Linked DNA regions of Sus scrofa. Each later gene encodes a partner of the first gene's protein in a complex. Links are inferred from orthologs where the notes say so. Each region holds a gene or a part of one and is shown in the gene's direction. Other genes may lie near its edges.

Region 1 (8,104 bases):
TCTTCTTTCTAACCTCACCTGAAGTCGGCCAGGCTGAGTTGCAGCTTCTTCCGGGCTTTGTTGCGGGTGATGTAGTTGGTAGCAGAGCCTCGTTCATACTTGGGGAGGAAAAAAATCAATTCTCCATTAGCAATGACTGCAGTGACTGACAGCAATCTCTGGACACGCCTCTTGCAAGAGGCAACTAGTACTCTGGATAAGAGGCCGAGGGGCTGTGGGGAGGGAGTGCTTCTCCACTGAGCAAGTGGCCCTGTACTGGTCTTGCAGTTGTCAGCACACAGGAGGACACGTACATCTGCATGACGCAGGGGTCAGGTGCTATGCCAAGCACTTAGGAGTAGGTCTAAGTACTGACCATTATGATTACTGATTTGCTCCTATTATTTCATTTAATTCCCACAACACTGTGAGGTGGTTTCCATTAAGATTCCCATTTCACCAGGAAGGAAAGAGGCTCAGTAAAATAACCTGCCCAGGTCATATATCTTTTTAAAAGCCGGGGCTGGGTTCAGACCTAGGTCCAAGTCCAGAACCTGAGCACCTCACTCACTAAGCCAATGTTCTCAACTTCTATTCCATTATAACCACCGCTCCACCACCAGAGGCCTTTTAGAACTTCCCCTCTTTAATCACCCTCTCACACAGCCCTCTGAAATGTTAATTATCCCAGATATATGGTAGATCTATTTATGTAATGCAGTCCTATAAAGGGCCACAAATCACTGTAATATCTAAGACACCTCCCAACCAATTTTTGTTCCTTGGGGATGACACCATCTGGTTGAAAATGCACTTGAAGCCATAGAGCCTCTCTCCTTCCCCATTCATTCACTTATTCACTCATTCACAGACATTAAGACCTCTACTATGGGGAGTTCCCGTCGTGGCTCAGTGGTTAACGAATCTGACTAGGAACCATGAGGTTGCAGGTTTGATCCCTGGCCTTGCTCAATGGGTCAAGGATCTGGCATTGCCATGAGCTGTGGTGCAGGTTGCAGACGCGGCTCGGATCCTGCGTTGCTGTGCCTGTGGCATAGGCCGGCGGCTATAGCTCCGATTGGACCCTAGCCTGGGAACCTCCATATGCTGCGGGAGCAGCCCTAGAAAAGGAAAAAAAAAAACAAAAACAAAAAAATCAACAAACAAAACCCCAAAAAACCTCTACTATGTTCCAAGCATTTAGCTAGAGGTATGTGGGTAATAAAGTCAAATGGTCTATCTTCTACCTGCCCCCAAGAAGCATGATGCAACCATGTGGTTGTCTGTAATGCTGAGATGCTGCCTTATACTCACATCCCTGTAGCCCTGACAGAGCAACAGTGCACTGGGCCAGGTGCCCTGCAATGCAAAGCAAGAACATCTTTTCCAAATAAGCTCTTCCTCTGGACTAAGAGATCATAGGCCTTGATGGCCAGGTCCAGCTCTAAAGGGATAAACCCGTAGCCTCCTGAGGGGTACGTTTACGAATAACCCCAGAGTCACCAAACACACCCCGCATGCATTTTATTATTAATAAAGTTATCAATTGTTTATTGGGGATCAGGCCCATGCCAAGTCCCAGGGCAATACAAAGATGAGTTTCAGACTGTTTTAGGGAAGTTGCTTTTGTTAAAACTGTTTTCCATTACCCTATGCCACACTGTCACCATTCTTACCCTTTCAAACATTAAGAGGACACTCAAGGAGTTCCCATCATAGCTCAGTGGTTAACAAATCCAACTAGTAACCATGAGGTTGTGAGTTCGATCCCTGGCCTTGCTCAGTGGGTTACAGATCCAGTGTTGCTGTGAGCTGTGGTGCAGGTCACAGACACAGCTCAGATGCCACATTGCTATGCCTGTGGTATAGGTGGCAGCTGTAGCTCCAATTAGACCCCTAGCCTGGGAACCTCCATATGCCACAGGTGTGGCCCTAAAAAGACAAAAAAAAAAAAGAGAATACTCAAAGTTAACTGGGGTGACTTTACTCTCTGGGTGTATTGGGGGTGGATTCAGTATTTGGTGTTGTTGGGTACTACTGGCACCTAGTGGATGAACGGTCAGGAATGCTGCTGAACATCCTACAACACACTAGACAACCCTCCCCACAACAACACAACTAAGTTATGTGGCTCAAAATGTCAAAATGGTTGTGAAATCCCCACTTTAAAAACTGCCATGATTTGTTTACATATTTGCAACTGTTTCTCAAGATGAGATTTTCTCCCTCATATTTTTGTAGTTCCAATGGCTAGCACATAATGAGTGCTGGGTTAAAAACAAATCAGCATTGGAAACTTTCAAGATGAAGAAACATCATCCCCATCCTCATCCCCTCCTCTCCATGCCACCAATGTGATTTTCCATACAGCAACAAAAACAATTCTTTGAAAAATCGATGTCATTCCCCTTTTAGTTGATTCTTACTGCACAGCAAATAAAATCCAATCTCTTCACTGTGAATAACACGGTTTCTGTCCAACCCCAACTACATTAGATGCCATTCTTCCCTTGGTTTACTATACCCCAACTGTCCTGATATCCCTCCCATTCGGTACACACGGCAAGCCTTTTCTACCTAAGGGCCTTGGCACTTAGTTTCCTCTGTCAGGCTTGTTTGTGACCGTTTTCTTTGGTTATTTACTTTAGTGGCTACCTTCCCTACTAGAAAGTGAGCTTGGGAAATGTAGGGACTACATCTGGTTATGCCTCATCCCCAACGTCCAGAAAAAGGCCTGATTCAACAGAAAAGGGAGTAACAAGTTTTTAAAATGATAAACTCAACATAGTGATGAGCTCTGCGCTATGTTCATCACTTTTTCAGTAAACAGTTGTCCTCCGGTTCGGCCTGCTCTGGGATGCATCTTTACTTGGTAACCTCAGCTCTCTTTCACAGCTCTACTGCAGGCTTCTTTCCCGGATTTCACCGAACGAGTAATGCTGTCCTCGCCCATCCTCGGACCCTTTCTGGCTGCTGTCTTCTACCGCGTTGATCAGCCACCTCTGCACCCACAAGGGGCCAAGGCCGGGGAAAGGCGCAGTTCCCGGGCTATATCGCTCCCGTCTCCTACCTCCTGGGTCACCCCTGTGTCCCCACCCCTGCTTCTCGCACATCACCTTCTTCTTCTCCAGGCCGCCCATGGCTCCACGCTGAAAGGTCTACCAGTGCCGAGCGGACAGGTAGCGCCACTTCCTCCCGCATGTGCGCGGTACAGGGCCCCGAGGCCCTCCACGCCGCCTGCCTGTGAGGGCTGCCCAAGGAAGTGCCTGAGCAAGTCTAGGGAAAAAAGGGACTTTTCTCTTTTATATTTACAACTAAACTCCATGAAAAAAATCACTAAGACCGCTCTTCTGGATCTTTCCCATTTATTGCCTAATACAGACATATTTAATGTTTGATTGAAGGCGGATATTCAGGCATTTCTATAGTCATCCTGATGACGAACGCTTGCCGTTTCAGCCCCGTTGCATTTTGGGATGGAAGGCGGCGGAAGGCCTAGAGGCAGCGCAGCGCCTTCTGGGATGCATAGGGGAGTCTCTCTTCTGGGAGCAGCGGCAAGAATTGCGTTGTCATAGTAACAGTAGGCGTCGAAACTTGTCTTGCCTGAGAAGCCACCTCGGAGGTAAGTGGAGCGACTTTCGCTTCTCCTGTGGCCATTGGTTTTTCCTTTGGTTAGTTCGCTATTATCGGTGTAAATAAAGCAAAAGCAAACTTTTTCCTCTCAGAGGTAGAGAGACCCAAGAGGCCACTTAAACTTTCTGAGCCTTAGGAGAGAGTTGAAAAATGACGAAAGCACAGTTGGAACTGGTGCTATATTTTAAATGTACATTTAACATGTTTTAGTTTTTAATATGTATATACAAATTCCGTATTGTGTTCTTTAAAGGGTAATTACAAGATTTATACAAATATTCACACGAGTGTGATGTGGTCTGGGGAGTAGATGAAATTTGCAAAGTTAGATGTTTTCTTCCTTCAGGCCGCTAAACTCCATTTGGAGATTGCCTCAAAATTTTAAATTTGAAGAGTTCCCATTGTGGCGCAGCGGAAACGAATCCTAGTAGTATCCATGAGGATGCGGTTTCGATCCTGGACTCGCTCAGTGGGTCAGGGATCCAGCGTTGCGTCATGCTGTGGTGTAGGTCGCAGACCCGGCTCGGATCCTGCATTGCTGTGGCTGTGGTGTAGGCGGGCAGATGTGGCTCGATTCTTTCCCCAGCTGGGGAACTTCCATATGCAGCACATACAGCCCTAAAATGCAAAAAATAAAAAAATTAAAATTTGAGGCCCTTGTGAATGTGACCTGACCTAAAGTCATGGTCATTAACTCACCCTTTAGAGGTAAATACAGATATCAAGCACTGACCAATACTTGTTTTGAAAAATGTGTGTTTTATTATGTACTTTCCATGATAGCTAAAATAAAAACTTAATGATTCAGAGTTCCCTCTGGCGCATTGGGAGGCTGGGATGCAGGTTTGATCCCCAGCCCGTCATGGTGGGTTGAGGCTTCCGAGTCGCTGCAGTTGCAGCATAGGTCTCAACTGCAGCTTGGATCACTGATCCCTGGCCGGGAACTCCACAAACCATAGGGTGGCCAAAAAAAAAAAAAAAAAGAAAAGAAAAAAAGCCTAGTGCCTCTACAAACAACGAAAAATGAAATATAATGAAAAATGGGTAGGGGAAGGTGAGCTAGCAAAGACTTTGAAGGAACTTGACAGAGCGGTGTGAGGAAAAGCAGGGTCATGTGGTTCTCACAGCAAAAGACTAAGGTGTGTTTCAGAAAGGCTCTGAGAACAAAAGGAATGGGGCTGGCAAAGAGAAAGGAGAAAGAGACTGTCCAGGCCAGAGGCAAAAGTTTGGGGCATTTGGGAGCATGTAGGGTGTGACTGTGTAGGAGGAGAAGGATGGACCTGAGAGGACAGTAGTGGCTCGTTAATCAAAGGAACACAGGAGCAAGGCCACTGTCATGGGTGTGTGATCCTGGCAGTGGCCATGGCCCTGTGCTTGAGCCAACGCTGATTCTTAACAATATTTTAACAAGGCACCCTGCACTTGCAAATCATGTAGCTGGTCTACACAGGAAGGGCCTGTTTTGCTCACATTGATTTCGAGGGGGGGTCAGTGGAAAGACACAGATGGAGGTGTCTAGAAAAGAAATTGTACATTGGGTCTGGAGTTCAAAATAGGTACTAGATTTTACAGATGAGGAAACTGAGGTTCTGGGAAGGGAAGGGACTCATCCCAAGGTCACTCAGCTGCTAAGTAGTGGAAAATGGACTTTCACTAGGCAGCCTCGTTGCAGAGCCCAATGTTGAAATCACATGTCACTGCCTAATGAGTTGTGGACAGAGCTGGGCACCCAACACCAACAGTTAGTTTCCTTCTTTCTGTCCTGTGGAAACTGCTGTGTGACTCTAGAAACATGTGAAGCACATTTTAGCTTTATAATGGGAAGAGATTTTTAGCTATTAGAGCCATCCACTCCTGGAACGCTTTGTGAACCTCCATCACCATCATGGTAAAGAGCCCAGGCTCTGCAGGCAGACACACCTGGCTTTACTTCCAAGCTATAGGCAAGCCACTTTACCTCGCAGTACTTCTCTTCCTCATTTGTAAAATGTGAACAAGACCGACTGCTTATAGCAGTTGGCAATTTAAATATTTTATTTTATTTTATTTGGCCTCACCCATGGCATATAGAAGTTCCTGGGCTAGGGATCAAATCCAAGCTGAAGCTGCAACCTATGCCACAGCTGTGGCAACACTAGATCCTTACCCACTGTGTCACAGTGGGAATGCCTACATTTTTAATTAAGAAAATGGATATTCCATATACATCCACACAGTTGTATTTGTTATATTCATCCTTCAATGCCACCTTCGTGCATGCAATTTTTTTCCCCTTCACTGTTGTTTTTTGAAAATTGAAGTATAGTTGATATACAATATTATGGGAGTTTTAGGTGTATAGCATAGTGATTCATAGGTTTTTTTTTTTTTTTTTTTTTGCTGTGCTTTGGCAGTAGAAGTTTCTGGGCCAGGGGTTGAATCTGTGCCACAGCAACAACCTGAGCCACAGCAGTGATAATGCCAGATCCTTAAGTTCTAGACCACCAGGGAACTCCACGATTCATAATTGTTAAAGGTTATTTTCCATTTATAGTTCTTATAAAATATTAGCTATATTCCCTGCATTATTCAATATATTCTCATTCATGCATATAATTTTTTTCCCCTGTTGGATTCTTTGTTACGCTGTGTCCTAGCCCAATCATCATAACACCACGAGGAATAAATCTTTTTTTTTTTTGCTTCTTAGGGCCACACCCATCGCATATGGGAGTTCCCAGGCTAGGGGACGAATCAGAGCTACAGCTGCCAGCCTATACCACAGCCACAGCAATGGGGCATCTGACCTGTGTCTGTGACCTACCTAACAACTCACAGCAATGCCAGATCCTTGATCCTGACCCACTCAGTGAGGCCAGGGATTGAACCCTCTGCCTCATGGATACTAGTTGGGTTCATTTCCGCTGTGCCACAGCAGGACTCCCAGGAATAAATCTTTAGTCAGCTTAGTTGACCACTGCAGTGAGGGAGAGGAACTGTGAGGGTCTGACCCAGGAAAAGTCAGGATTATTACATCACATAGATGAAGTTTGGTGAGATGTAAAACCAAGCAGTATTATGCATAGGCTCAACACAACACAGGGATGCATGAGAAAGGTCAGCTTCAGGTTTGGACAGCAAATATCCTGTTTCCTTGTAAAACTACAAAGTTGAGATAGACATGGAATGTTGAGTCCAGAAATTCCATACCAGAGCTGACTTGGCTCTTCCAGGAATGTTTGTTTCTTTCCCCTGTCCTCCCTTCCTCTCTTCCTATTCTTTCTTTTCCTTTTTTTTTTTCTTTTCTTTTTAGGGCCGCACCTACAGCATATTGAAGTTCCCAGGCTAGGGCTACAATTGGAGCTGTAGCTGCTGGCCTACACCACAGCCACAGCAATGCAGGATCTGAGCTGTGTCTTCAACCTACACCACAGCTCATGGCAACGCCATGATCCTTAACCTACTGAGTGAGGCCAGGGATGGAAACTGTGTCCTCATGAATACTAGTCAGGTTCATTATTGCTGAGCTTCAGTGGGAACTCCAGGAATGTTTTTTTCTTACTAACATGATTTCAAACAGCAAATTTCTGATAGTTTGTTATATTAGAGGGAAAAAAGAATCCCAGTAAAAAAAAAAAAAACAGCCACTCAAACAACATGGTTACTGGGACACTTCATAACTGTAAGATGACCTTGGGAGAAATAGTGTTTCCTGTTTACATTGCCACTGGCTTTATCTGTGCCTTTCCTGATGCATGAACAGAGGAACTTTTACCTGCTCATGCCAAGCTAACATTTACTTTCCCAGCCATAGACCCCCAAATAGAAGTCCTGAACCAAATGATTTAGCCATTTTTCTTTTACTTCCCCTAACCCATTACCTAAAACAGTACAGCTCCACCCCTGATCACTCACTCTGTTTCTAATAGCTGTGGAAAACATGTCTTCTCCCCACTGGTCACTGCAGTATCTTTGAGTCCTTAGGGATCAGAGGTGACTCTACCAAGGAAGCTGCTTCTCATCAGGGACTGCCATCCTGGGGATGGTAGGAAACAGAATCATTGCCATCCACCATAGGCAGAGGACTAGGGGGCAGGCATAGTCCTGTCCCAGACCAAGGCAGCTCCATTGCCCATAAGTTTCCAAGGCCCCCCAGGAGATCTGAACCTGAGGATCCACGGAAGAAGCTGGGCCTCAGCTGGACTCCCTCCTTTCCCAGAATGTCATCCTGATGGGCCATACTCAGCCTTCTTGCACTCGACAGTCTAATTTTATAAAGTACTTCTGTAAACAGATGCACTTCTCTGTATTTAGTTATGTCAAAAGATTGGCTTGTGATAAATCAGGCACAAAACTAGATCATCTTGAAAGAATGAACAGTGGCAATTTGTTATAAAATGATTGCAATAAAAATTTTTTTATGGCAGTATTCATTTTATTGGGATATTTGCTTGATTGCCATGGTCTGGAACTGAAACTGCAATGTCTCCAATATACATTTGCATTTTATGTA
Region 2 (6,975 bases), on another chromosome or scaffold:
TGGTCGTGCTCCATTGTCACCTTCAAGACACCCTTCACCCCAGCTTGGGCAGGAAAGTTTGTTGCAGGCTCTGGTTGTCAGACTCCAACCTGGCGCCTCCTGCTGTAGCTTCACCTTCCACACCCTGACCCCAGCGGCCCGGGGCCATATGGCTGAATTTCCTCAGCGACAGTCTCCTGCCCTCGCAGTCTCTGCATTTTCCTTCTCCAGTCTTAGAGAAAGAAAAGTCTCCCTCCCTCCCTGCGACCCCAGGTCTTTGGCACGTTCACCCTGGCTTAAGTTGGTCGCCCTCTCGGAGATTCCCAGAGGCAACCGGGCAGGTTAATGTGACCACCCTGTGCTCACATGTGCCCCTGATTTTCATCTGTGAACTCAGATTCACACACCCGCTTCTCCATGGGATCCTATCTTTTCTGGTTCTCTATCTCAGTCCAAAGCTCCCATCTGAGGCTAAATGTTCCTGATTCTTTCAATGATCAGGACTCATATTAACCAAGTACCAAACTCTACACACAAGCAGTGTCTTCTCTTCAGCGTGCTGAGGTAGGGACTCCTAGCATGCCCCTTTTACAGGTGAGGAAACTGAGGCTGGGAGGGCCAATCCCTCCTTGCTCCAAACTGCATTCCCATGCGGTCGGGTCTGCTCTGCTTCCTGATTTACAGATGGACACACAGTCCAGCAGGTCAGGGAAGGAGGTCAGGGGTTGCCACGCGGAGTGGCTAGGCCTGGCAAGGAAGCTGCCTGCACCCATAGGCTGCCAGACTCCCATGGGCAGGGAAGGAAGTCGGCTCCAGGTCACTCCACAGAGCTCAGGGCCTGTGTGGCCCACAGGTACAGTAAGGCCTGGAGGCTGGCCTGCAGAAGGGCTGGCTGTGAGGGGCGGGGGGCTTGGAGACACAGGCCCCCATGAGTAAAGGTGGAAGGGTCAGAGTTCCTGTTGTGGCTCAGCAGGTTAGTACCTATGAGGACTCTGGTTCAATCCCTGGCCTCGCACAGAAGGTTAAGGAACTGGCGTTGCCTCAAGCTGCTGTGTAGGTTGCAGATGTGGCTTGGATCCTGCATTGCTGTGGTTGTGGTGTAGGCCAGTAGTTGTAGCTCCAACTTGACCCCTAGCCTGGGAACTTCCATGTGCTGTGGGTGTGGCTCTAAAAAATGGGAAAAAAAAAAAGGTTGAAGGGTCAAATGACCAGGATCAAATGGAGGGGGGCTAGGCTGGGTCCATGCCAGTTTTCTGCCACCCACCCTGTTGTACCCAGGGGGAAGCCATAAAAGCCACTCCCTTCCTCTGTCCCTCAGACTCTCGGCTGCTGGCCCAGCTTCCAGGCCCTTCTGTGCTCCTTCTGCTGGGTGTCCAGGAAGGCTCGGGTGTCAGCTGGACTCAGCCCAGACTGTTGTGTGATCTGTGTCCACTTATCATTAGACATGGCCCCAGGCTTACCGTCAAAAGTCATGGCCCTGACCACCACTAAGTGTCCCGTCTACAAGGGTACCAGTTCAAGGACCATTGTTCTAAGTGGGAGGCCAAGCTACAGGGGTCTGAAGCGTGAGACCCCTCCCAGGAAATAAGCTGAGACGTGAAATCTGAGGAGGAAATCATAAGGTGCAGGGAAGAGGGAGGAAAGGGGGTACTGGACCCAGGAATAGCATGGGGGAAAATTCTGGTGGAAACAAACCAGGCCCCTTACAGAGGCAGCAAGGAGGCCAGGTCAGAGGGAGCTTGATGAGGAGGAGGAACGTGGGAGGAGGCGAGATCCAGGAAGGGTTCAAGGCTGGCCAGGTGTTGCAAGTGACACAAAGGATGGAAGATTTGGTTGTGAGAAGGTCAGGGGACCAAGGGACAGTTTTGAGCAAAGGGGAAGCAAGGGATTAGTGACCGAATGGTGGGACTCTGAGAGGTCTCTGGTGTCTGCATGGAGATGGGGGTGGGGAATCTGGGGAGGAGGGGGCACATTCGGGATGGGGGAAAGTGGCCAGGTTTGGGAGGAAGTTAGAGGTGACTAAGCAGGTCCTCTATCTAAGGCCACAGTTTCCCCCTTTGGTGAGCAGCTGGCACATAATGGGCCCTTCTGACCCTGACCGTGGGCCTGCGTAGGCCCCTTCCCCAGTCTGTTTAACCGTGGAGCTTGAAAAGACTCCTAGGGAGACCATCTGGCCATGTGGAACCAGGTAAAGACTCTGGGGTCATTGAGACCAGGGTTTGAACCCTGACTCTGCCACTAGCTTATAGCCTCGGGCCTCACATCTCTAAGCATCTTCTGTAGAAGGGCCATGGCAGTAGAATCTCCTCAGTCAGGCTCTTGGCGAGGCTGCGAACTGTTCAGGCCTGACACCCAGTACATACTTAGCAGAGGGTGACCACCAGTGTACATCCCAATGTGCTCCAGACCTCCCAGGCCTCACCTGTGTGCATCTCTTAGGCCCCAGTGCAGGCTCGTGCGCGCCCACCAATTTCCAGTGCCGGACCAGTGGTCTCTGTGTGCCCCTCAAATGGCGCTGCGATGTTGACAAGGATTGCCCTGATGGCAGTGATGAGGTGGAATGCGGTGAGGGCCACAGCCTGGGGGCAGGGCTTGCAATGGGGGAGGGGCCATATGGAGGAGATGCTTGTAGGAGGGGTGTGGCTTTGGGGCTGGGCTCGCTGAATTGGGCCTGAGAGTGGCGGGGAGGCCTGCAAGGACACTGGTCTGGGTCTTTGGGTTAAGGAGTGGGTTTGTAGTTAGGTGGAGTTAGTGCCGTCTTGGGAGGAAGGGCTTGCCAGGAGGTGAGTCCTTGGAAGGTGGAGCTAATAGAAGCATGGGGTGGGGCCTGTAGGAGGGGTGGGCCTTATATGGTCAATTGCTTTTGGAAGGTGGGGCTTACAGGGGCTGGGCGTTGGGGAGTACCTGGGCCCTCTTGGGTGGGTGTTTGGGACCTGACTGACTTTGTACCCCAGGTATTGAGCCATGCACCCAGGATGGGCAGTGCCCGCCACCCATTGGCAGACCCTGCCCTTGTGACAGCATCCATGACTGCCCTGAAGGTGTTAATGAGAACTGCCGGCACCAGCCCTGCCAGGAGGGGGAGGTTTACTGCCTGCCGGAGAATTCCTGTATCCCAATCACGTGGCTCTGTGATGGTCACCCAGACTGTTCGGACTACAGCGATGAGCTTGGCTGTGGTGTGTGCTAGTGGGGGGTGGCAAGGGTTGGTGGGTAGACAAGGATGCCTGACACCTCACCTTGTATATGATGAGGTGTATATGATGAGGCTGAGGGTGTGGACACGTGGGTCTGCCCGGGGGGCTGCACGAGGGTACTCCAGCAGCAGTGCTGAGCAGCCTCACTCAGTCTGGGATGGAGGGGAGCCACAAGGACACCCCTGGCACTGGGACCATCCTTCATCCTTCCCCGCCCCAGGTGCCCCCTCCCCAGCTACTGAATGCCTGGACTTCTTGCAGGAACCAAGACTGTCCAGGAAGGGGGTGCCACGTCCATGGGAACCCCTGTGGGCAATGCCACAGTCACCTCTGTCGACGACCAGGACTCAGTTCAGTCTGGAAACCGAAGTGCTTATGGGGTTATCGCAGCTGCTGGTAAGATGAACAGGCCGTCCCACGCCTGGGGCTGGGAGCAGACAGGCTGCAGACCCCCCTTTGCAGGGTGTTAGGATCCTGGTGGGTGTGGGATCTCCTGCCACCCCCTTACCCACTCCTGTCTCTATCCCCCACAGTGGTGCTCAGTGTAGGTCTGGCCATCACCATCTTCTTCGTGTTGTCACGATTCTGTGCCCAGGGACGCCTGTCCCCGCTGGGGCTGCTGGTGGCCCTAAAGGGGTCTCTGCAGTCAGAGAAGACGGCCTCGGTGCTCTGAGGATGAGCCATTGCTGTCACATCGCATGGTCCCTGAGTATGGCAGGTATGGGGACATGCACATGACTGTGGGCACAGTAGCCCCCAGACCTGGATTCTTCTACACAGCAGCACTGAGTACCTGAGCTCCTGAAGATGGGGCCCTGGAGGCTGGGACCCTCCCCTGGATGCCAGGAACCTGGATGGGAAACGTGCCAGAGCTGGAACCGAGGGGCTGGCCCCAGGTCACTCCCAGGGTAACCCCGCTGCTCAGATACTACTGCAGCCCCTGCCTGAGGGTGGTGATTAAAGTTGCTTTCACATCCTCTGTCCTGCCTCTGGGCCTCTGTTTCCTTCTGCCTCTGGGCAGCCTGGGGGCTCTGCTGCAGCCCCTCCTCTGTAAGGGAGCATGTAGCCTATACAGCGTGGGAGTCTGGGACCCAGCCCAGGGCACCCACTCAGCCACTCTACCCCTGACTTCCTGGGATCCAGAACAGGGGACAGTGGGGCCAGGGTGGCAGGTCAGTCCACATTCTCTGCAACCTTCTGCAAAGAGGAACAGACCTTGGGCAGTGCCTCCCAGAGTCCTGGGCTGGGGGACCCCCCTCTTTCCTGGCTTCTCTTTGAGATGGTTCCAGGTTGCTCTCAACCCTGTTTCCACCTGTAGGTTTTATTAGGAGTTCCCTGGTGGCCCAGTGGTGAAGAATCTGGCCTTGTCACTTGCTGTTGTGGAACAGGTTTGATCCCTGGCCTGGGAACCTTGGCCTGCCACAGGCATGGCCCCCCAAAAGAAGAAAAAAGAAAAGAAAAGAAAAAACTAGGCTTTATTGTTACTCAGGTCAACAGATCAGGTGACTGCTATTGAAAAGGCACTTTGTGGAGTTCCCGCTGGGGCATAGTGAGTTAAGAATTGAACTGCAGGAGTTCCCGTCGTGGCGCAGTGGTTAACAAATCCGACTAGGAACCATGAGGTTGCGGGTTCAGTCCCTGCCCTTGCTCAGTGGGTTAACGATCCAGCGTTGCCGTGAGCTGTGGTGTAGGTTGCAGACGCGGCTCGGATCCCACGTTGCTGTGGCTCTGGCGTAGGCCCGTGGCTACAGCTCCGATTGGACCCCTAGCCTGGGAACCTCCATATGCTGCAGGAGCGGCCCAAAGAAATAGCAAAAAGACAAAAAAAAAAAATAAAGACAGTTTGTTACAGGTGCCAAGTAAAGGGGTCATAACAGGCCATGTGGAGCCACATGGGAAATCACCAGAGTGAATCAGGAGGCAGAGGCAGGAGGGAACAATGTGGGCAGGAGCTTTTATTGTTTCCACCAGAAGGAACGGGTGAGGCAGTGTAAACAGGCTGGCAATTGGCGAGTTTGAATAATTTCCGAGGGCACCGACTATTGTGTACATCTTAGCGTCACCATCAGAGAGCAAGGCCTGGGGCCCTCACCTATGTTCGTACTTGTGGCAAGGCCCCTGCTGAACATTTCCCTAACCAGAGCCCGTGAGGGGGCTGGCCCAGCCCTTGTGGGTCTTTTTTTTTTTTTTTTTTTTTTTTTTGTCTTTTTGCCTTTTCTAGGGCCGCTCCCGTGGCATATAGAGGTTCCCAGGCTAGGGGTCTAATTGGAACTATAGCCACCAGCCTACAGCAACAGAGCCACAGCAACACGGGATCCAAGCCGAGTCTGCAACCTACACCACAGGTCACGGTAACACCGGATCCTTAACCCACTGAGCAAGGCCAGGGATCGAACCTGCCACCTCATGGTTCCTAGTCAGATTCGTTAACCACTGCGCCACAACGGGAACTCCCTTTGTGGTTCTTAAAGTCACACTTTGGGAAAAGCCATCAGGGAACTTTGAGGAACAAGATTTGTTACTCACAGGTCCTGGAAGGTACTTGACAGTCTCCCCCTCCCCGCTGCCTTAGGGCCACTGGCAAGATCCTGTAGTGAGAGAGATGGCCTGGGGCTCTGTCTTTAGTAGGGTCCGCAGGTGGGAGGCCTGAGTTCACTCTCTTGGTGAACTCGCAGCAAAAATTCAGGAATGAGGGAGTTCCCCCTGTGGGGCAATGGGATTGGTGGCATCTCTGGAGCTCTGGGCTGTGGGTTCGATCCCTGGCCCCACACAGAGGGTTAGGGCTCCAGCGTGGGTCGTAGCTGTAGCTGGGATCTGATCCCTGGCCGGAGAGTTCCATAGGCTGAGGGGCAGACAAAAAAGAAAGAAAAGAGGCAGAATGTGGACTCTGGCAGGGAAAGGGGGTGGGGTGTCACTCAAGGGGGGTCAGTTATCCAGGTTACCCAGGGTCTCTGAAAGGGAGACCTTCGTGGGTAGAGGCACCTACTAACCAGGTAGGTTGGGTTGCTAGTGGCTTTGTGGTGCAGCTGGCGATGTGTTTATTCATGGACACCAAAAATCAAAAGCTTAACTTCAGGGAGTTCCTTTGTGGTTCAACAGGTTAAAGATCTGGCGTTTACACTGCTATGGCTCGGGCCACTCTTGTGGCAAGGGTTCGATCCCTGGCCTGGGAACTTCTGCATGTCTTGGCTGGGTATGGCCAAAAAAAAAAAAAAAAAAAAAAGAGCTTAATTTCAGGCACTTACACTGCACTGGCCCTGGGAGTGATGAGGACAGGAATACAGTGGCTCTGGACTGGGTGGTTTGTATTGGTGAGCCACACTCTCTGGTGAGTTGTTTGTCATCTCCAGGAACTAGCTAATCCCTGGAGGGACTGGTTGTCCCTGGTCAGCGAGGCCTCAGATGCCAGGGCATCAAGAATACAGAAAGTGGAGTTCCCATCCTGGCTCATCGGAAACGAATCTGACTGGCATCCATGAGGATGCACGTTTGATCTGGCCTTGCTCAGTGGATTAAGGATCTGGCATTGCCATGATCTGTGGTGTAGGTTGCAGACACGGCTTGTATCCCATGTTGGCGTGGCTGTGGCCTAGACTGGCAGCTACAGTTACAGCTCCTCTTTGACCCCTAGCGTGGGAACCTCCGTATGCCACGAGTGTGGCGCTAAAAAGACAAAAGACACACACACACACAAAAGAATACAGAAAGTGTAGTTAACATACACCCTAGCTGCTGGATGACAACAGGGGTCTTCTCTGACCCTTGTTTTCTTCATCTCCTAATGGGGTGGCCAGGGCCC

The links. The genes of interacting proteins can lie anywhere in the genome.
Region 2: the proteins of TCN2 (region 1) and CD320 are in contact, whole or in part, in a crystal structure (PDB 7QBF), measured with the Homo sapiens proteins. The link is inferred for Sus scrofa from reciprocal best matches to the Homo sapiens genes TCN2 and CD320. Residues at the interface, in NP_000346.2 of Homo sapiens: Asp70, Leu71, His74, Lys77, Leu78, Gln81, Gln82, Glu91, Asp92, Arg120, Gly121, His122, Lys123, Asp125, Arg126, Val128, Ser129, Lys132, Trp133, Glu136, Arg140, Lys169, Arg170, His172; in NP_057663.1 of Homo sapiens: Thr57, Lys58, Leu66, Cys67, Val68, Pro69, Trp72, Asp75, Arg76, Asp77, Leu78, Asp79, Leu133, Glu136, Cys145, Ile146, Pro147, Thr149, Trp150, Asp153, Gly154, His155, Pro156, Asp157, Cys158, Pro159.

The regions. Positions count from the first base shown.
Region 1 is NC_010456.5:47,492,800-47,500,903, forward strand, and holds the start of TCN2 (transcobalamin-2 precursor), read left to right. Parts: upstream 1-3,445; 5' UTR 3,446-3,601; intron 3,602-8,104. UniProt on the Homo sapiens protein: Primary vitamin B12-binding and transport protein. Delivers cobalamin to cells.
Region 2 is NC_010444.4:70,966,135-70,973,109, forward strand, and holds the end of CD320 (CD320 antigen), read left to right. Parts: intron 1-2,418; coding exon 2,419-2,544; intron 2,545-2,933; coding exon 2,934-3,158; intron 3,159-3,437; coding exon 3,438-3,572; intron 3,573-3,709; coding exon 3,710-3,849; 3' UTR 3,850-4,155; downstream 4,156-6,975. UniProt on the Homo sapiens protein: Receptor for transcobalamin saturated with cobalamin (TCbl). Plays an important role in cobalamin uptake. Plasma membrane protein that is expressed on follicular dendritic cells (FDC) and mediates interaction with germinal center B cells.